Canis lupus familiaris: one gene and its partners. The protein of the gene in region 5 purifies or fractionates together with the protein of the main gene of each other region. This does not show direct contact. Links are inferred from orthologs where the notes say so. Each region holds a gene or a part of one and is shown on either strand. Other genes may lie near its edges. The genes, in order: ZBTB18, KLHL9, ZBTB10, KBTBD7 and FBXL17.

The links.
Region 1: the proteins of FBXL17 (region 5) and ZBTB18 purify together in Homo sapiens (co-immunoprecipitation; 3 studies listed by BioGRID and IntAct, with this or other methods). This does not show direct contact. The link is inferred for Canis lupus familiaris from reciprocal best matches to the Homo sapiens genes FBXL17 and ZBTB18.
Region 2: the proteins of FBXL17 (region 5) and KLHL9 purify together in Homo sapiens (co-immunoprecipitation; 3 studies listed by BioGRID and IntAct, with this or other methods). This does not show direct contact. The link is inferred for Canis lupus familiaris from reciprocal best matches to the Homo sapiens genes FBXL17 and KLHL9.
Region 3: the proteins of FBXL17 (region 5) and ZBTB10 purify together in Homo sapiens (affinity purification with western blotting; 3 studies listed by BioGRID and IntAct, with this or other methods). This does not show direct contact. The link is inferred for Canis lupus familiaris from reciprocal best matches to the Homo sapiens genes FBXL17 and ZBTB10.
Region 4: the proteins of FBXL17 (region 5) and KBTBD7 purify together in Homo sapiens (co-immunoprecipitation; 3 studies listed by BioGRID and IntAct, counting the BioPlex papers as one, with this or other methods). This does not show direct contact. The link is inferred for Canis lupus familiaris from reciprocal best matches to the Homo sapiens genes FBXL17 and KBTBD7.

Annotation. Positions count from the first base shown.
Region 1 is NC_049228.1:35,066,790-35,071,079, reverse strand, and holds the start of ZBTB18 (zinc finger and BTB domain-containing protein 18), read right to left. Parts: upstream 2,807-4,290; 5' UTR 2,790-2,806; intron 1,970-2,789; exon of another isoform or gene 1,590-1,969; intron 356-1,589; 5' UTR 285-355; coding exon 272-284; intron 1-271.
Region 2 is NC_049232.1:40,905,414-40,909,514, reverse strand, and holds the start of KLHL9 (kelch-like protein 9), read right to left. Parts: upstream 2,801-4,101; 5' UTR 2,439-2,800; coding exon 585-2,438; 3' UTR 1-584.
Region 3 is NC_049250.1:28,339,746-28,343,256, reverse strand, and holds part of ZBTB10 (zinc finger and BTB domain-containing protein 10), read right to left. Parts: intron 3,127-3,511; coding exon 3,028-3,126; intron 354-3,027; coding exon 177-353; intron 1-176. UniProt on the Homo sapiens protein: May be involved in transcriptional regulation.
Region 4 is NC_049243.1:9,372,728-9,376,801, reverse strand, and holds the start of KBTBD7 (kelch repeat and BTB domain-containing protein 7), read right to left. Parts: upstream 2,805-4,074; 5' UTR 2,522-2,804; coding exon 482-2,521; 3' UTR 1-481. UniProt on the Homo sapiens protein: As part of the CUL3(KBTBD6/7) E3 ubiquitin ligase complex functions as a substrate adapter for the RAC1 guanine exchange factor (GEF) TIAM1, mediating its 'Lys-48' ubiquitination and proteasomal degradation.
Region 5 is NC_049224.1:3,599,352-3,603,296, reverse strand, and holds the start of FBXL17 (F-box/LRR-repeat protein 17), read right to left. Parts: upstream 2,802-3,945; coding exon 1,902-2,801; intron 1-1,901. UniProt on the Homo sapiens protein: Substrate-recognition component of the SCF(FBXL17) E3 ubiquitin ligase complex, a key component of a quality control pathway required to ensure functional dimerization of BTB domain-containing proteins (dimerization quality control, DQC).

The DNA of each region.
Region 1 (4,290 bases), on a different chromosome or scaffold from region 5:
TGATCTCAAAAAGCAACATCTCAAAGCCTTTCTTAACATTTCAAAACTTGAAATATTTCTGTGTATTAAAGTTATTTACTTGCTCGAGCAAAAGGGATAAAAATTAAAACTACACAAGCCCAAGACTTTCAACTCCAATAAGATGTTCATTTAATACTCGGTTTCATATATTATTCCTAAACTGGGTTAGAAAAGTAATGTGATTTTTTTAATTAAATCAACAAAACACCAAAACAGAAATATGCTCAATCTAATCTCTTGCTACTCCTACCTTTAGGACACATAAACCTGATTAAGTCCTTTCCTCTGGGTCTCGCTGGCTCCAGGTCTGTTACATCGGTGGAAAAAAAGCGGACTAAGAGAGACAGATGCAAAGTGGAGATGATGTTAGAGAGGAATAAGATACCTTCTCCACCACAGATCCGCACACACTAACTCCCTGTCTGTGTGTTAGAATAAAAGGCTGAGGGATGGCAGGCTGTCAGCTGCTCTGACATCATGTTCAGATGGAAATGCTACCTCCAGCTGTGCTCCTTTTAATGCCATATGCTACTCCTCTACACTCCTGCCACCAGCTTTTTCTTAGGAGAACTTTTCTCTTCTGTTAGTATAAACAAAATACTTCAAAGTCTCCCTTTTTTTCCAAACTTTCTAACAGAAAGAAATTGAAAAACTCAGCATATGGAGTTCTACTGTATTTATGGAATAGCAACACTTCTGTCTTAAGTTGGTGGACTGGCTCACATACTGACAGCACACTCAAGCCACGGTGCTATTCAGGAAATCCAGATTCACTTTTATTCAACTCCAACGTTTAGTTTCAAAGGCAGCTTAGGGATATTTTTAAACCAACCCAATTGACATCTCCAGTCCCATTTCAACATTATTACGGTACTTTCATTTTTTTTTTTTTTCCTGCCAAGATAATGGCATACATGTCTCAATGCTGGGAGACTATACAGAACTATTACTACAGCCGGGTTCACCTTATTATTTCCCTCTTAATTTTAACTATTTGTGTCCTACAACCTACTCAATAAAATTTCTACATTGCCACTACATGCAAATTTCAACTCTCACTATCAACAAGGTGAAACTGCACTTTCTGAAATCCTGGAAAGTACTTCAGTTCAATGAGACAAATTAATAAACTGATACAACCTGCTACGGCCGCTTAAAATGAACACTGCACCTGCATATCTGATCTGACTCTCCGCTCAGGGGAGAAAAAAAAAATTAAAAAAAAAAAAAAAGCAGAACTTTGTCTTCCCCTTGATCTGTGTCCCATAACAATCTTTTTTTGGGTCACTCTGTGATGTTTCGTGATCACAAGAAAACCTTTCAGCTTTCAGTAAGAAGGGGGGGGGGCAAGTCTAGTAAGTTTGGGAACTTTTCAGCTCGACTTTGTGGGTCTTTTTCTAATGGCTGATGAAATCATAACGTAACCCGGGCTGGGCTGCCCCGTGCCCTGCAAGGTGCTGCGACATCTGTGAATGTCAAAGCCATCCCCACGGGCTCGGGAGGGCGAGGCGCAGCGCAGGCCCGAGGCGCGAGCGTCGCAGCCCTGCTGGTCACCGCCCGGTCCTCACCCGAACACCGCGGCACAGTTAACCAGTAACAAACACCGGCGTCTCCGTCCAGTCTCCCTCGCTCTGCCAAAGTCACAGACCGAACTTTCTCTAACTTCGCGGTGAATGACAGGATGACGAACGCCTATTGCGGGAGGCACTCTTCGGGAGCCACATTCCTTCCCAGCCACACAACCTATTCTCCACAAATGCCCTCGCCCCATTCCAACGTATCAGACATTAATCACCCCATTTACCCGGTGGGGTGGGGGGTGAGTGACAGTTTAATGAGTCCCAAGCACCGCAATGGGCCAGCGACTCCCACCCCACAAATCAACCCCTTCGCAGTCCTGCTACCGCGGGGTCCAGGGACGGACTGTGAGGCTGGGCTTCTGTTTCTCCCGAGGGGTGGGGGCGAGGGTGCGGAGTGGGGCCGGGGGTGGGGTGGGTAAGAAATGCAAATCTCCACGTAGTTCGCCGTGCATAAAACACACGGGGAAAGAGGAAGGTTAAACCACAGGGAAGGAGGTGGAGGGCGGAGAGCCGGTGCAGCAGGAAAACACCTTCCACAGCAGACGAGAAAACAGACCCGGGTCACGGCAACAACAAAAGAAAAGTCGTAAGAAGCAGCCCGCGGGAGGAGGGTGGCTGCTACCGCTTCCCCGACGCCGCGGCGCGCGAGCCCCCGGGGCCTCCCGGCAACTGCACCAGCCCGGGAGGGGCCCCTCCCCCGCCGGCCCCCTCCCCCCCGGGCGCCACTGCAGCTGCACCGGTCCCCGGAGCCGCGGCCGTCCCGGGCGCCGCTGCAGCTGCGGCGGCTCCCAAGCCCCCCTCCCCCAGCCCGCCGCCCTCCGCACCCGGGAGGCGCCGCCGCAGCTGCACGGGCCGGGAGCCCGCCCCGCGCCGCAGCTGCACCGGCCGCGGGGAGGGGGGCGGGGGGCGCGGCGCGGAGCCGGCGAGCCCGCACCCCGCCCGACCCCGCAGCTGCGGCGGCCCCGTCCCCGCGCCCGGCCTCCCGCAGCTGCGCCGCCCCCCGCCGCCCCAACCGCTCCGAGCACACAAACTAAACTCCACTCGCGGGGGCGCCCCCGGCCCGGCCCGGCCCGCCCTCCGCCCGCCCCGGCCCGGCCCGGGCCGCACAGCTGGCGCCCCCCGCCCGCCAGGGGGGCCGGGCGCGGAGGGGGCGCCGGGTCAGGGGCCGGGGCGGGCGCCGGCACTCACACGGAGCGGCCCTAAGTCACCGCGTCCCCGCCGCCGCCGCCGCCGCCGCCGCCGCCGCCGCCGCGTCCTCCGCCTCCTCCTCCTCTTCCTCCCGGCCGCCGCCGCCGCCGCCGCCGCCGGACTTGGTGGGCTTCCTCCTCCTCTGGCCCCCCTCCCTCCCGGCCCCCCCGCCCCCCAATCCCGGCTCCGTCGCCCGCTCCCCCTGCCCCCTCCCTCCCTCCCACCCACCCCCGCTGGCAGCCGGAGGAGCGCGGCGGAGCGAAGAGGGCCCCACTCTCAACGGCTCCCCATGGCAGCAGCCCAGCGGCGGCCGCAGCCTGCCAGACACAGCGAGGGAGCGAGCGAGGGAGCGAGTGCGGAGCCGCCGGCCGGGAGGGGGGGCGGGGAGGGGGGGCGGGCGGGGGAGGGGGAGGGGAGGGGGCGGGAGGACGCACCACGCACGCACGCGGCGGCGCCGGCCAGATGTTCCCCCCCGCCCGGCCTCGGCCCGCCCCTCTCCTCCCCCTGCCTCCCTCCCTCCCGGCGTTGGGCCCCTGCGATTGACCGTAAGCGGCTGGGCCGGCGCTCCCCGCCCGCCCCCAGCGCGCGGCCTCCTCCAATGGGAGGGCGGCCTCGCGGGAGGGCGGGGGGAGTGGCGGGCGACCGTCGGACTGACAGGAGGGCGCAGCCAATGGGCGAGGCGGGCCGGAGCTGCCGCTCGCGCGAGCCAATCGCGGGCAGGAGCTGTTGCGGTGGGCGGGGCCCGGGCGGGCGGGGGGCCGGTAGCGAGGCGGCGCGGGGCGGAGTCCTCGGGCGCAGCGGCGGCGGCGGCAGCGGCGCCCCTCTGGGTGACTTGGCCGTGAGAAAGTGAAAGGAGCCCGCAGGCGGCAGCGACAGCTGCGCTGGGAGGGGCCTGTCTCCGGGCTCCGGGGCCTCGCGCGCCCCGGGGGGGTGCGGCGCGACCTTCTCGGGGCGCACCGTGACCACCAGAAACACACTTTTAAAAGCGCTGGGGCCGGCGTGCGCCGAGTTGCGCAGGTATCCTCGGGAGGCAGGGCGCGCGGGGACGCGGGGGACGCGGCGCAGTCGTGGCCCGCCCGAGCGCGGGGAGCGGAACCGAGCGGCGCCCGCGCTCCGTCCCGCCCCCCCGCCCCCCCGCCCCCCGGTGCAGGTCGGGGCGCCGCGGCCGCGGGCTCCGGGAGGCCAGTCGGGGCGTCGCTCCCCGGACGAGGTCTGGCTCCGGGAGACACGCCTGCGGCCCCCGCGGCCCCGGGGCACTCGCCCTCTCACCAGCACACACTCCCAAGCGACCAAATTCTAGAGAACTCCGGTAAAATTGGTAGTTGTGGAAGCCGTAGCCGGATTCCTTAATTGGTACGTATCAAGCCACAGCGTTCAGCCACCGAGGGAAGATGTGAGACAGACTGCGGTGCCGCTGTCCCCTCCCTCCAGAGGAACTTTTATCTGATCCTGCCTCTTGGCTATGAAAGTGGGTCCATCACGGCAACGGAGAAATGTAGAG
Region 2 (4,101 bases), on a different chromosome or scaffold from region 5:
ATGTGTTTATGTGCATACATACCTATATTTCCTCTCTCCCTTTCCCTCTCTCCAGAGATACAAAATCCTGACTTAGGGTTTTGTACGCTGTTTATTTCTCCTATCTAGGAAACTTCACATATTCTGAATGCACTCGATCTGGTGAATTGTCAACGATGTCAAAAACTATTATGAAAAAAGGGAAGGTAGGTGATATTTGGCGACCTTTTACTATTTTAGGTCAGAGCAAGCAGCCTCCCTTCGATGTTCTGAAGTGAAAGATGAAAACTTGCAGCTTTGAAGCATAAACGAACATAATTACACATTTACTACAATCACCTACAATTTGACTTACACAACACCACAAAGACATCTAAAACATTTTTCTACATATCTTTTTTACATTTGTTAAAACAGCTGGCTATGTTAAATACATTTTCAGAATGCATTTGTTAACCATACGGATAAACACACTGAGCCAAGCAATACAAATAACATCAGTTACCATTTAACCTAATAACTGCACCAATCACTTTAAGAAGATACAATTTAAGGGGAAGTGTGAGATCATCCATGATGCACTGCAAAGGTACTACATTTTAGTCCTAAGAATGGTCTGAAGGTGCTGAAAGAGGGGATTCTCTAGAAGGTGACCCAGGGTTTTCCTCGGGTGGAAAAACTGTGAGAGTACAAGCTCGAATCCCACCAAGTGACTCTGGAAGGTCAAAAACTTTATGCCATTCATCCTTTTCTGGGTCATATTTCTGGACAATTTCTACCATACAACGATTATTCCAGGAATATCCACCCACAACATAGATTTTATTTTCAAAGACAGCAACTCCAACATCACTCTGACCTCTTAACATAGCAGCAATTGGTGTCCACTGGTCAAGGGTTGGTGAATAGTATTCACAGCTTAGAACATCATCATAATCACTTGTTCCTCTGAAGTGATTGCCACCAATGACATAGAGCTTGTCTCCAACTGTACACATGCAGTGCAGACCTCGGACTGTAGTCATTGGAGCCTTCTGTGTCCATTTGTCTGTATCTGGGTCAAAACACATGAGCTCGTTTTGGAAAGTGTCATGAGTAATTCCTCCTGAAATATACATCAAGCCTCCGTACACTGTTCCAGCATGGCCATAGTGGGGCTCGCTCATTTTTGCAACATAGCTCCACTCATTCATCCTTGGGTTGTAACATTCTACTGTGGCCAGTTCACCAGCCGCACTTCGCCCACCAACAGCATATAAATGTCCTTTAAGGGCACTCAAGTGGAAAAACGTGCGCTTTTCATTTAACGATGCAACCTGCATCCATTTGTTGTACCGAGGATCAAACCTGAAAACTGTATCAACAGCAGTTTTCCCTTTCGTATCATAATTACTTTGACCACCAACTACATAAAGAAAGTTTCCAATGACAGCAATACCATGCTGGTAACGAGGAGCATCCATGGGGGCAAGAGATCTCCACTCTTGTGCCCTTTCGTCATACATCCGTAATTCTTTGCTGACAACCAGCTGCTGCCTCAAAACTCCTCCTAATGTGACCAAGTGTGTCGAGTCAGATCGAATGGCAGTTCTATCTGACTGCATCACTGGCTGCATATATGGCATCATTTGGTAATTGCTAGCTTCCAAAAGCAAATTCACACAAGTATTGTCTGTTCTCATGAAATCTACTGTCTGCACGTAATTGATGAGATCCTGGGGTGTCATCAATGGAAATCGAATGTTCTTCATTAATTTTGCAGCATAATCCATCCGAGGGTCTTCCAATCTTAGCCAGCGACAGGCGGCCTTGAAGAGCTCAAGTTCAGTGCAGTGCTTAAGGCTGTTACTAGAAAGCACAAAGGCAAGCCGTTCAAAGGGGAGTTTTAGAAACTCCCCGGTACTCAGCAATGCAGGAAAATTCTTCAGGATGAAATTATTGACGTACTTATCCACTTCGATCAGATTGTAGGTGTTAGCAATCCGCCCAACTTCAACACAGTTGTCTAAAGAGACTCCCGAAATAAGGAACACCTTACAGAAGTCCAAGACGGGCAAAATCTGTAAGAAGCTGGCAGCTTCAAGGGTGTCCTGAAGATTGTCCATATTGAGAGAAAGTTTTGCAGTATAAATGAAATCAATTATTTTCTTCAGCCCAACCTTGTTCACCCCATGCAGCTTAATGCACATCAGATCCTGTTCTTTCATTCCGCCTGTGAACATTGCCTTGAAGTAATCACTAGCGGACGCCATCATAGCTCTGTGAACGGGGAAGATTTCATCTCCGTCGCCCGGGACCAGGGTCACATCACAAAGCAAGCCTTCTACTCTGAGCTGGTCGAAGCCTTGCAGCACCACCGAACTGTGAGTGTTGCTGGTAAAAAAACGCGTGGTTCCTGCCTTGCAGGGCTGTAGGTGGGCGGAGACGCCCATTTCGCCGGTGCCGAGGGACACTTTCATGGGAAAGCCTTCCTCCCGCGGAGACCCGGGCCCCCCGGGGAACGAGGCTGTGGCCTGAAAGCTCTCAAGGAGACGAGCCGCGCACGCCCCGAGCAGGAGGGCTCGCTTTCCTTGATCAAGGGCGAGCGGTCACCGCGGCACCCCGCCAACACACCCGCCGGTCATCCGCTCAAAACTGGTGGCGGGCAGGGCCACGGAGGGCTGCGGACCTCAAATCTGATTGCTCTGCGGACGATTCATCACCTGAAGGCAGTGAAGCGACCCGGTTCGCCCGGTCCGGCCTGCGCCGCCGCTCCTCCAGCAGTTCCGCTCCCGGCCAAGGGGGAGGCGCCGCCACGTACTGCGGCCGGCGACGCGGCGAGGCCGGCCCACCTCAGCGCGCGGCCCGCTGCGCCCTCCGCGCTCGCTGGAGCGTCGCCGCGGACGCCGGCGGCGGTGCAGGGACGACGGCCTGGACCGCGGGCCTGGCTCGGGCCTGGGCCTGGAACGCGGGCTCTGCCCCGGACGCCGAGCCGGTCCTTCCGGAAAGGCTTGGTCCCAGGATCCCCCGGGCTAGGAGCGGCCGCGGCGGCTACTGCGCCTGCGCGCCGCCGGGCCCCGTCAGCGGGCGGGCGCGTGGGGGCGGGGAGCAGCGGTGCGGGAGGCGCCGAGGGCGGGGGCCGGGGCGGGGGGCCGGGCGGGGTCGCGCGGAGGAGCGGGCGCGGCCTGGGGCTCCAGGGGCGCCCGCGTGGTGCTGCGCGTGTGCTGCGAGCTTCTCACGGCGCCTGAGCTCTCCTCCTAAGTTCATACTTTTTTTTTTTTTTAAAGATTTACACTTCCTGGCTTCTGCCTTTTGAATAACGATGACGTGCGGCTTTTGTATAGATGGGAAGGCAACGGGGAAGAGGCGGCGGCCCTGGGGGCAAGATGCTTAAAACTGTTCCTCGATAAAGCACTTGGGCTATGATTTTTATCCTACACCTCAGTTACCATTTTGGTTCACATATTCAAATTACTAGTCGTTTAATACACGGATCATGGGTCTCTAAATACCAAATTGTGACCACGGCACATGAATAGTATAGCCTGGGTTTTGGCTGTGCAGTGCAATTCCGTTGTAATTGTTCTCCACTCACATTTTTATTTTTATTTCATTTTATTTTATTTATATTTTTATTTATTTATTTTTTGTTGGTGTTCAATTTGCCAACATATAGAACACCCAGTGCTCATCCCATCAGGTGCCCCCCTCAGTGCCCATCACCCAGTCACCCCCACCTGCCACCCACCTCCCCTTCTATCCACTCACATTTTTTTTTAAAGATTTTATTTATTTATTCATGAGAGACACAGGCCGAGAGAGAGAGACAGACAGACACAGACAGAGAAGCAGGCTCCACGCAGGGAGCCCGATGTGGGACTCGATCCCGGCTCTCCAGGATCACGCCTTGGACGGAAGGCAGACGCTCAACCACGGAGCCACCCAGGCATCCCTATCCACTCACATTTTTAGATGGCTACAGGACTTTCCGATGATTCCACATACTATAGTTTCTTTTGCCCATTATTAGTTCCTGAATAAAAACTTTGTACGTCATTGTTTTATAGACTCCAATAAACTAAAATCTCAGCACAGAAGTTTCCCCTGTTTTTAGATAAATCCTAAGGACAGGATTCAAGACGT
Region 3 (3,511 bases), on a different chromosome or scaffold from region 5:
ACACAAAAGCAATTATATATTAAACAGAAAACTTGCTATCAAAAGTTTGTCTGTCCCTGAGAATAGGGATTGTAGGACTACTAGTATTTTAATTTTTTTAAGACCCAGAACATGGAAGCTTTTAATTGTGAAAAATCATTTTAAAATTCTGCAATGTTTAGTTGACTAATACTTGCCATTTTCCCAAGTTTCTTGTTTTGGCCAAGATTCGGGCAATAATCCATACTTGAAATCGTTTGAAGCACCTGGTATCAATCCATACTTGAAATCATTTGAAGTACCTGGTAGCAGTCCATACTTGAAATCACTTGAAGGGCCAGGCATCAAGCTATACTTGAAATCATGTGAAGTACCTAATAGAAAAGTGATTTTAATGTAATTATGGTAATAAAGATATTTCTTATTAGAATAAAACAATATAGGACATAAAATTTATTATATCTATGCAATATTATGATAGAACAGCTTACTATAAATAGCTGGATAAAAATCTCTACATTGTAATCTAAAACCGAAACGTCTTCATACTTTATTATCCTATCATAATACTCTAATTGCAGGCATCTTAAATAGAAAAACTAAAATTTAAAATGCTACCAGAGGAGAGAAAAATTTGGTAAGATAAATGTCAATATTTAATAGTGCATGGAGGCCACATGAAACTTTTTTTTTAAGATTTTATTTATTTTGAGAGAGGACAGCATAAGCAGAGGAAAAGGGAGAAGCAGGCTGCCCGCTGAGCAGAAAAGCCCGATGTGGATTTCTATCCCAGGATCCCGGGATCTCGCGACCTGAGCCAAAGGCAGACACTTAAACTGAGCCACTCAGGTGTCCCAAAACTTCTTTTTTTATACTGTATTTCAAATATATTCAAAACAGAACTCTCTCTTAATAGTTACTTTTAATTATTCTATCACTTGAGACTACCACCCTGAAGCCCAGCTTTGGAACAGGAGAGCTCTGCATTGCCCCCAAAACAATCACATAATCTTAAGACTAATCAGTATGGGGCGCCTGGGTGGCTCAGTCAGTTAAGCATCTGCCTTCAGTTCAGGTCATGATCTTGGGGTCCTGGGATTGAGCCCCACATCTGGCTCCCTGCGGCTCAGCTGCCTGCTTCTCCCTCTGCCCCGCCACTGCTTGTTAGCTTTCTTGCTCTTAAGTAATTGAGTTTTCAATAAAAATATTAAATCTTTACCCCTACTTCATTGTTCTCATTCTTTATAGCTGATACAAAAATTCTTATGGTAAAAATAATCTATTGTTGTACAACTCACAAAGACCACTCTTCAACCATATTTCTAAACCAAATATAAAATACTTATACCATTAGCAATTTTTTGTACAAGGATAAAGTCTTCAAAATTCAACCCCTCTGGTAACTGCTCATTTCAAAAATTTTTGTAAATTCTTTTCAACAGTTGGGAGAAACCACCTTAAGGCAATTTCTTTTCTTCAGAATTAGGGCTTAATTTTGGTCAGTGCATACATATTATATTCAGAAGCTTCTGAAAGCCTGAGTACTTCTAGCCACCCCCTGCCCATTAATTTAAGGAATTCCAATGCTATGAGAAGTTGAATCAATGAACATCCATATTCCTTTTGTGTGCCTTTGACTAATGTTAATTTTGACACATGTACTTTCTCTGTGAACACACACTTTTTATGTATTATTTACTCATCACTTTACCTCTCAATATAGCAGTTATTTTCTAGAACCTTCTCCTACATAACCATAGTACTTTATCATATCCACGAAATTTAAAATTGTCAAACTATTATTTAACCCATACTACACAAATTCCAAACTGTTCTTCAAATGTCCCCCTCTCCCTTTTTAAAGATTTTATGTATTCATGAGTGAGAGAGAGAGAAGGGGGGGACAGAGAGAGAAGCAGGCTCCTTGCAGGAAGCCTGATGGGGAACTCGATCCTGGGACTCCAGGATCACGGCCTAAGCCAAAAGACGCTCAACCGTGGAGCCACCTGGGTGTCCCTCAAATGCCCCTTTAGTCATTTTAGAACTCTGGTCAGTCATCAAGATTGACCATGCATTTTGGCAAGTAAACTATGTAGGTGATGTTTTGTGCTGGCTAGTGCATTACATGTAGAGGCATGGTATCTCTGCTGCTTTCATTATAAAGAAATCTTTTCCTCTTTGTTTAACTGAAGTTATCTGGGATGATAGGGAAACCATGTGAATATACTATTATAACAGCCTTTTGCATTGTGGGATAGCCGATCAACAGTGGCTTAATATCCATGGATGATTTTTTAAAAGATTTTTTATTTATTCATGAGAGAGACAGAGAGATAGGCAGAGAAGCAGGCTCCCTGCAGGAAGCCCAATGTGGGACTCGACCCCGGAACTCCGGGATCACTCCCTGAGCTGAAGGCAGATGCTCTGAGCCACGCAGGTGTCCCTCCATGGATGATCTTGAATTATTTCCTGTGGGGTATTTTTCATTTCTGTCATTATGTATTTATTAGCTTGGCATTTTTCTCTAAAGAAAGTTTTTCCCCTTCTTTATACTTACTTTGTTCTCTGGAATATTTATGGATTCTCTGCCTCTATGTGAAGGATACTTCTCCCGAAGTACAACTGACAGAAACATCACTACTATAGAATTAACGTTTTCTTTAGATTACCATATTGTTATTTTACATCAAAGCCAATTAAAATACGTTAATCAGCCAACTGGATAATTACCATTTTCATCCTATGTATATACTAGCAGGAAGCCACCAGCCCTATTAACTTAATTACTTTTGGTACTTAAGAATTTGAAATGCTCTAAACAAATGGCTCTCCCAAACAGTAAGAAACACCCATCCATTTGTATTTACCAGGTTTCCAAAGTCTTATCATAAACATAGCTACCATGGATCCAAAGTATTTTCATATAATACTCTCCCTTAAGGGAGAGAAACTGCAATAGGTCCTTAAACATGTACACAATCACTTCCCAATCTTCAAATCCTCTCAAACGTACTCTTACTGTACTTTTGTAAATCCTACTGTACATACCAGCATCACCTCCATCCTGACTGGAGCCGGCTTCTGCCAACAAATTTGTATTCACATTCCTATCACAATCTGGCCCTGAGAGTAGAGCACCATCCAGATCTGAAAAGGAGATGTACAATAATCTGTTACTTACAACCACACTATAACCATCATCAACCACTCCCTGCTTGGTAGTTTCTTATGCAACTAAATAGAAAATTATCTATCTGCAAGTTATAATACCTACTACGTGCTTAACGCGATTAAGGCACAAAATCAGACATGGTTTTCAGCCACAAGAACAAGCACACACTCGAGAGAATAGTGTACTGAATAGGAATAAGCTTTAAGAGGCAAGGTGAATTAGGTTACTGGCTATGTGAGCATGTGCCTCAATTTCCTCATATGCTTCCAAATAGTTCAGATTTGATTAAAAAAATCAAGTCAGATAATCCAAGTCAAGTGTTACAAATTACAGTGTTTGGCACCCAATGACAGCTGCTAC
Region 4 (4,074 bases), on a different chromosome or scaffold from region 5:
TTTGGGAAATCTACTACTTTCATTATTCTAAAAGAAAATACAACCTTCAAAACCCTACCAACAATTTCTAGTTCAATTTTCTACTATAAAAATTAAAAAGTTAAATTCCTTGTGGCACTAAGTTGAATTAAAACGTTAACAGAAGACAAACGTAGATAATCAAAATATAAACAGTGTAAACTAACCAAAACAATCCACTGGTGCAACAAATACTCGAACAACCAAGAAACCACCAAGCATTCTAATCAGTTACATAGTTTGTTTTTGCATATTTTAATCTTGACTTTTAGCATAATAAATTATCATATAGGTTGATTTCATGGACTGTTTAACTTTGTAACATTACATTAGTAATTCAAATGTTACCCTTTCTAAACCAAATCTGCAGTCCTAATCAACATTTTTTTTTTCATGAAAAGGAAGGGATATCTTTTAAAGATACATTCCATAGAAGTAGAAACATCTTAGTGCTTCAAAATATTTACAAAGAACCCTGATGATCCTGTGCATTTCCCTGAGGTGCCACCTGCACCCAGACTTCATCATCGGAAAAAGAACTTGAACTTCCTGACTCCGAGTCCAGCTCACTGAATCCATCTAAGTCCCATTCAGTACTAGACTCACTCCGTGCATCATCTTCCTCAGTGATAAAACTCTGTCCAGGTTCAAGGCAGGAAGGATAAACACGAGCACAGAGGCAAATAAAGCCAGAGTCAAACTGCAAAAGACCTAACATGGTACCTATATTAATCCACTGGTCTTCCCTAGTATCGTATTCATAAACAGTCACCCGGTTTTTTTTCCACTGAGGGGTGGTAGAAGTAATGAGGAGCAACTTTTGGCCATGATTGACAATCTGGTAGTTGTGGGTCTCTGAGTCCAAGGGGATATTACTAATCCGCCTCCATTCTCCCCTGGCTGGGTTGTAGACCTTCATGACCGGGATGTCGCAGATACAGTAGATCTCATCATTGAAGACACAGGCTTCCTGAAAGTCACTACGTTTAAGAGAAGCACAGTTCAGCCATGTATTGTGGCCCGGGTCATAGTAGAGCATGCGCTTACTGTTCACAGCATAAAGATAGTTCTGAACCACTATTAGTTCAAACGAATAGAAGGAATGGGGTACAGGAGCCACCAGTGCCCACTGGTTTCTCTGGACACTGTAGCACTCCACTTCCTTCAGTTTAACACCGGTAATGGGGTCTCGCCCACCCAAAATGTAGATGTAGCCATTGAGGTAGGCCACATCCATGCCCTCCCGGCACAGCAGGCGGTCGGCCAGCTGCTGCCAACTATTCTGGGCTGGCTTGTACACCCAGAGGTCCTTCCTGGGCTGCGCGGCCAGGTAGATGTCATGGTCTGGAGAGACGCAGACAGCTGAGGAAGTGACAGTCTTGGTGTGAGCCAAGCTGGTTAAAGGGGATGGCATGGTGTAAATGTCCCCTGAGTATGGGTCGTAGCACAGAAAGGGATCTCGGGGATGTCCAAAGAAGATCACCATCTCCTTGGCACACATACCCAGCCTCTGGGGTGGGTTTTCTGCTGTGGGCACAACACAGCTGCTGCTGCTATCTGGTTTGGGCACCAGAGCCTTGCACAGCTTGTCACCATAGCGCATCTGCAGGGCCCCCTCGATAAGGTCCAGACAGTACTTTTTCACAATGGGCTTGGTCAGCAGCCCCTCCAGGTAATCCTGATCCTCTTCTCTGAAGTGTGTCCAGCGGACACACTTGAAGACTTCCGCAGCGCTGGGTCCGCGCTCCTTGGGAGCCGCCTCCAGCCACTGCACGGCCACGTGACACACGGTCCGCTCGCTCTCGATGTCTAGACTATCCAGGCGCAGGATGGACAGCAGCTGGGCCAAGCTCAGATCCGCCAGGCTCTCCTCCCTTACTGAGCCCATCCGGCTGAGCTGCCTGAAATTGTGGGCTATGAAGGACTGGGCCTGGGATCGCAGCTTATGATGGTCGAAGGCGTCGGCGAACTTGAGGATGGCGGTGCAGTTGGCCAGGTCGAGGCGGCGGGCCAGGAAGGAGGCGCAGGCCTCCCGCACGTACTCGAGCTGCAGCATGTCGGAGGCCGCGTACAGGCGCTGCACGTTGGCCTCGCTCAGCGACACGCGGCCCGTGTAGCAGTAGTCGACCAGCACCTCGAAGGACTCGGCGTCCACGTCGTGCATGGTCACGTTCGCCTGGTGGCTCTCGTACATGCCGCCCGTGAACATGCTCTTGAAGTAGGGACACGCGGCCGCCAGCACGTTCCGGTTGCAGGGGAAGAGGCGGCCGGTGCCGGGCCCGCTGCCGGGCGTCACCACCTCGATGGTCACGTCGCACAGCAGCCGCGCGTCGTAGAAGGACTTGAGCTGCGCCAGGAGGGCTGCGGAGTGAGCCGCGTCCTTCAGCTCCTCCGGGCCCGTGAAGAAAGCCGAGACCGAGGGCTTGGAGATCCTCTTGGGCCGCCTGCCGCCGCGGGGACTGGCCAGGCGGCGGGGGCGCGGAGCCTCTTCCCGGGACTGCATGGTGGAGATGGCGGCGGGGTACGAGGGCGAGAACGGGTGCACGGACCGGGCGCGGGCTCCTCCTCGCCCTCTCCTCGCCTTCTCCCTGAAGAGACTGCAGGGGCCGCACTTACCCAACTCAGCCCCGCGCCGCGGTGCCGCCTCCCTTTATCGCGTAGCCAGCGCCTGACTCACCCGCTTCCAGTTCCGCGCCCTTTTCTCCGCCTCAGCTCGCCTTACAGAACCCGGCTGGACGGAACCGAGAGAGCCGCCACTGCCGCGCTGGCAATACCGGTAGGCGTCCAGCGGAACTACGGCTCCCAGGCTGCCTTTCGCGCCCCGAGGCATGCCGGGGCCCCTCCAGACTCCAGGGGATCGGCGGGCGGGCCGGAGCCGCTGTGCACGCTGGGAGTGGTAGTTCGAGGAATATCGCGAGGTTTCTCCGGGCGGGCGGACTTTTAGCTGACAGAATTCGAAAAAGCGTTAATCTGGGTTTGTTGGTTTTAGAGCTTTGGCTTTGATGTTCTTTTTTATTTAAAAAAAAAAAAAATCTCCGTTTTGGTATTGGTCTTCTCTCTGAGAACTTTCCCCTCTTTGTAAAGCGGGGGATACGAGTTTTCATAGGATTATGTGAGAGTGGGAGCGAGGTGGATTTGCGCAGGTCCCAGGATGCTTCAGCGAATACCTGCTGATTAATCACATGCTTGCAAGTGCCTGGAATATACAGATTCAGCCACTGGTGGCGTCTCCCAATGCGTTTTTAAAAATGTGCCCGCGTGCGAAGCCGTGAGCGATTTGTGTGAGGAATCTTAATTTTACTGTTGCTTCTTTTGAAGGGTTCTTCTGAAGGCTACCACCATCTTTTCAGAACTAAATGAGATCCACAGGTTCGTTAGGGTGTCGTGGACAAGGATGAGGTCCTGGCGAACAGCGTTGAGAGGTGGCCTCCGACGTGCGGCTCAGGCCTCCGACGTGCGGCTCAGGCCTCTGACATACAGCTCAGGCCTCTAACAGGCAGCTCAGGCACATGCATAGCTGGGCTGACCTCTCACCAAATCAATATTTACGCAGGGGGAGCAGGATTACTTTCATAAGCTTTTTTTTCTTTTTTTTTAAATTAAGATTTTTATTTACTTATTAGAGAGAGAATGCACAAGCAGGGGAGTGACAGGCAGAGGGGGAGGGAGATTACAGGCTCCCTGCTGATAGGGCCGGATCCCAGGACCCCGGGCAGGCGCCTAACCGGCTGAGCCACCCAGAAGCCCTTTCGTAACCTTTTAGCAGGAATGTTTTGGTCTAATACTGCTCGTTTCCCTTCCTCTCCACAAATCAGCCTAAGATTATGTAGTTATCTTTATCAAGGAGATAAAAACGGGAGTTGTAGATTAAAAGATTTAAACAAACAGACCTCAGAGCTCTGTATTCATGCATGCCCCAGTTTTTTTTTTTTTGTTTTTGTTTTTTTTTTTAAGATTTTATTTATTCATGAGACACACACACACAGAGAGAAGCAGGCTCCATGCAGGAAGCCCAATGTAGGACTCAATCCTGGGTCTCCAGGATCAGGCCCTGGG
Region 5 (3,945 bases):
AAATGCATATTTATATATTAAATATATATATTCATGTTAAAATGTATATATATTTATATATACATATGTATATATTTATTTACAGAAATGTGTATACTAATATATAAAAATATATTTATATCAAATGTATATATTCATATACATTTACATACAAAAATGTATAGATTTTATATAAAAATATATTTATGTATAAAATGTATGTTTAGGGATCCCTGGGTGGCGCAGCGGTTTGGCGCCTGCCTTTGGCCCAGGGCGCGATCCTGGAGACCCGGGATCGAATCCCACGTCGGGCTCCCGGTGCATGGAGCCTGCTTCTCCCTCTGCCTGTGTCTCTGCCTCTCTCTCTCTCTGTGACGGTCATAAATAAATAAAAAATTTAAAAAAAAAAAAAAATTTTAAAAAAAAAATAATAAAAAAAATAAATAAAATGTATGTTTATTTTTTTTTAAGGTTTTATTTATTCATGAGAAACACGGAGACAGAGGCAGAGACACAGGCAGAGGCAGAAGCAGGCTCCACGCAGGGAGCCGGATGTGGGACTCGATCCCGGGACCCCAGGATCACGCCCTGGGCCGAAGGCAGGCGTCAAACCACTGAGCCACCCAGGGATTCCCTAAAACGTATGTTTATAAATATATTTACATATAAATGTGTATATATATATGTGAATGTGTGTATTTATATATAAAAGTGTTTTTATGTATCTATAAATAAAACATGTTAATAAGTCACATGTTTATAAATAAGACATATTTATATATGAAATATACTTCTATGCAAAACATATTCATGTCTAAAACATACATGTGTACGTAACACACCCGCTCGTACATGCAGTGGACAGGAGTGGCCGCCGGGCCGAGCCGGGAGCCGGGAGCCGGGAGCCGCCGGGCTGCGGGGCGGGACCGAGGGAGGCCGCAGCCCGAGCTGCTGAGCGCGAGCGGCTCCCGAGGTCTCGGGCTTCCCACGACAGGCCCGAGCGTCCTCCCGAGCGTCCTCCCCAGCGGCCTGTCCCCCTCGGACTCCGGCTGCCGGGGTGGGGGGGTGGGGGGCACTGCGCTCAGGGGGCGGAGACCAGCGAGGGGGCGAGGGGGTGGGGTCACGGGGGTCGCGGGGATGGGGGGGTCACGGGGGTCTCGGGGATGGGGGGGGTCACGGGGGTCTCGGGGATGGGGGGTCACGGGGGTCTCGGGGATGGGGGGTCACGGGGGTCTCGGGGATGGGGGCTCACGGGGGCCGGAGGGTCACGGGGGTCTCGGGGATGGGGGGTCACGGGGGTCGGAGGGTCACGGGGGTCGCGGGGATGGGGGGTCACGGGGGTCTCGGGGATGGGGGGGTCACGGGGGTCTCGGGGATGGGGGGGTCACGGGGGTCTCGGGGATGGGGGCTCACGGGGGCCGGAGGGTCACGGGGATGGGGGGTCACGGGGGTCTCGGGGATGGGGGGGGTCACGGGGGTCGGAGGGTCACGGGGGTCTCGGGGATGGGGGGGTCACGGGGGTCAGGTAGTCACGGGGGTCTCGGGGATGGGGGGTCACGGGGGCCGGAGGGTCACGGGGGTCTCGGGGATGGGGGGGTCACGGGGGCCGGAGGGTCACGGGGGTCTCGGGGATGGGGGGTCACGGGGGCCGGAGGGTCACGGGGGTCTCGGGGATGGGGCGTCACGGGGGTCGGAGGGTCACGGGGGTCTCGGGGATGTGGGGGTCACGGGGGTCAGGGAGTCACGGGGGTCTCGGGAATAGAGGGGTCACGGGGGTCTCGGGGATGGGGGGGTCACGGAGGCCGGAGGGTCACGGGGGCCGGAGGGGCACGGGGATCTCGGGGATGGGGTCACGGGGGGCCGCGGGGTCACGGGGGCCAGGGCCGGGGCCGGGGCAGCCGTCGCCCGCGGCGCAGACCCACCTTGAGCAGGATGGACGGCGGCAGCTGGTTGATGTCCGGGGTTTCGGGGGGCGGATCCCTGTGACAGTCGCAGGGGTTCTCGGGGGGCTCCCGGCGGTCGGCGTCGCCGCAGTCGTGCTGCTGCTGCTGCTGCTGCTGCTGCTGGGCGGCCGAGGGGGCGGCGCCCCCCGCTCGCCCCGCGTCCCCGCCGGCCGCCGCGGGGGCCCCGGGGGGCGCGGGGGGCGCGGGGGCCTCGGGGGGCGCGGGGGCCGCGGGGCAGCAGGCGGCGTCGGGGGGCCGCGGCGGCGAGGCGCCCCCCCCCGCGGGCCCTCCGTGCGCCCCTGCGTGCGCCCCTCCGTGCCCGCCGCGCCCGCCGTGCCCGCCGCCGTGGCCGCCGCCGTGGCCCCCGCAGCGGGGCTGCTTGCAGGGCGTGCAGGCCGGGAGCCCGGCGCCCTTGCGCTTGCACACCATGTCGGCGGCCGGCGGCGGCCCGCGCAGGAGCCGCAGGGCGGCGGGCGGCCCGAGGAGGCGCACGGGCCCCACGCCCGCCAGGAGGAGGCCCGGGCCGCGGCGCTCCCAGGCGGCGGCGGCGGCCAGCCCCAGCTCGCGGCAGCGGGAGGCGGGCGACGCGGCGGCGGGGGCCAGCAGGAAGCGGCGGGCGGCGGCGGCGCAGTCCTCGGCGGAGGCCCGGGCCCGCGGCGGCGGCGGCGGCGGCGGCGGCGGCGGCTCCTCCTCCGGGCCGGCGGGGGCGGGCGCGCCGGGGCTGTGCACGATGAAGCAGAGCATGCAGGGCCCGCGGAAGAAGCAGTCCCGGCTGCGGGGCGGGCGCGGGCGCGGGCGGCGGCGGCGGCACCAGCTGCAGCAGCGCGGCCTCCTGCGGCTCGGGCGGCTTCGCGGCTCCCGGGACAGGAGGTGGCCCATATAGGAGGCCGCGCGGGGCGGCGGGCGGCGGGCGGCGGGGACGGGGACGGGGACGGGGACGGGGGCGGCCGGCGGGACGGGGCGGCGGGGCTCCGCGCACTCGCGCTCGGGCGCACACGCGACGGGGGGGGGCGGGGGGCCGGGGGGCTACATGCTGTGCCCCGGGGCCGGGGGGGCCGGGGGCCGGGGGCCGGGGGCGCGGCGGGGGGCCTGCGGCCGGGGACCGCTCCACGCCCGGCCCGGCGGCTCAGTCCGGCAGCGCGGCGGCGGCGGCGGCGGCGGCGGCGGCGGCGGGGGGGACGCGGGGTCCCGCTCGGACCATTTTAACTGCGGCTCCGCCGGCGGCGCGCGCGCCCGCGACACAGCTCGGAGCCGCAGGGGCGCGCGGCCCGCTCGGGGAGGGGGCGGGGCCGCTCGGGGAGGGGGCGGGGCCGCGGCGGGCGCGCGCGCGGAGGGGGCGGGGCCGCGGGAGGGGCGGGGCCGCGGGGGCCGCCGGGCGGGACCTGCCGGGAAGGAGCCGGGCGCGCGCCTGCCCCGCCGCCGGGACGGGAGGAGCGGCTTCCGAGCCGGCGCGGTGACATCCGTTCGCGCGGCCGCGCTGACGTCGGGAGGTGTGAGGTCAGGAGCCGCCATTGGCCGGGAGCCGCCGCGCTCCCCGCCCCCACCCACCCCCCCCCCCCCGCGCCGGGAGAGCGAGGTCCCCGAGGAGCCGGAAGCGGAGGGCGCGGGAGGCCGCCTCTGCCCTGGCTGCCAGGGGTGCCGGGGGGCGCCGAGGTGCGGGGGCCCTGGGTGCTGAGACCCCGAGGTGCGGAGACCCCTGGGTGCTGCGACCTTGGGTGCTGAGGCCCCCGGATGCTGAGACCCTGGGTGCTGAGGCCCCTGGATGCTGCAGCCCTGGGTGCTGAGGCCCCTGGATGCTGAGGCCCCTGGGTGCTGCAGCTCTGGGTGCCGGGGCCATGCTCTCAGGGAGGGGCTGATGGGTGGGGCCGCCCCTTCTCTGTTCCGCTTGGTCGTACCCTTGCTGTGGTGTCTGCTGACTCCTATTTCAGTGAAAGCACCTGTCGTGTTTCCAGGCCAAGCCCTAAGGCACGTTGTCAACTGGTTGAGTCCTCAGCCTTGCAGGCTGGGGGCTCCACTGGCCGTC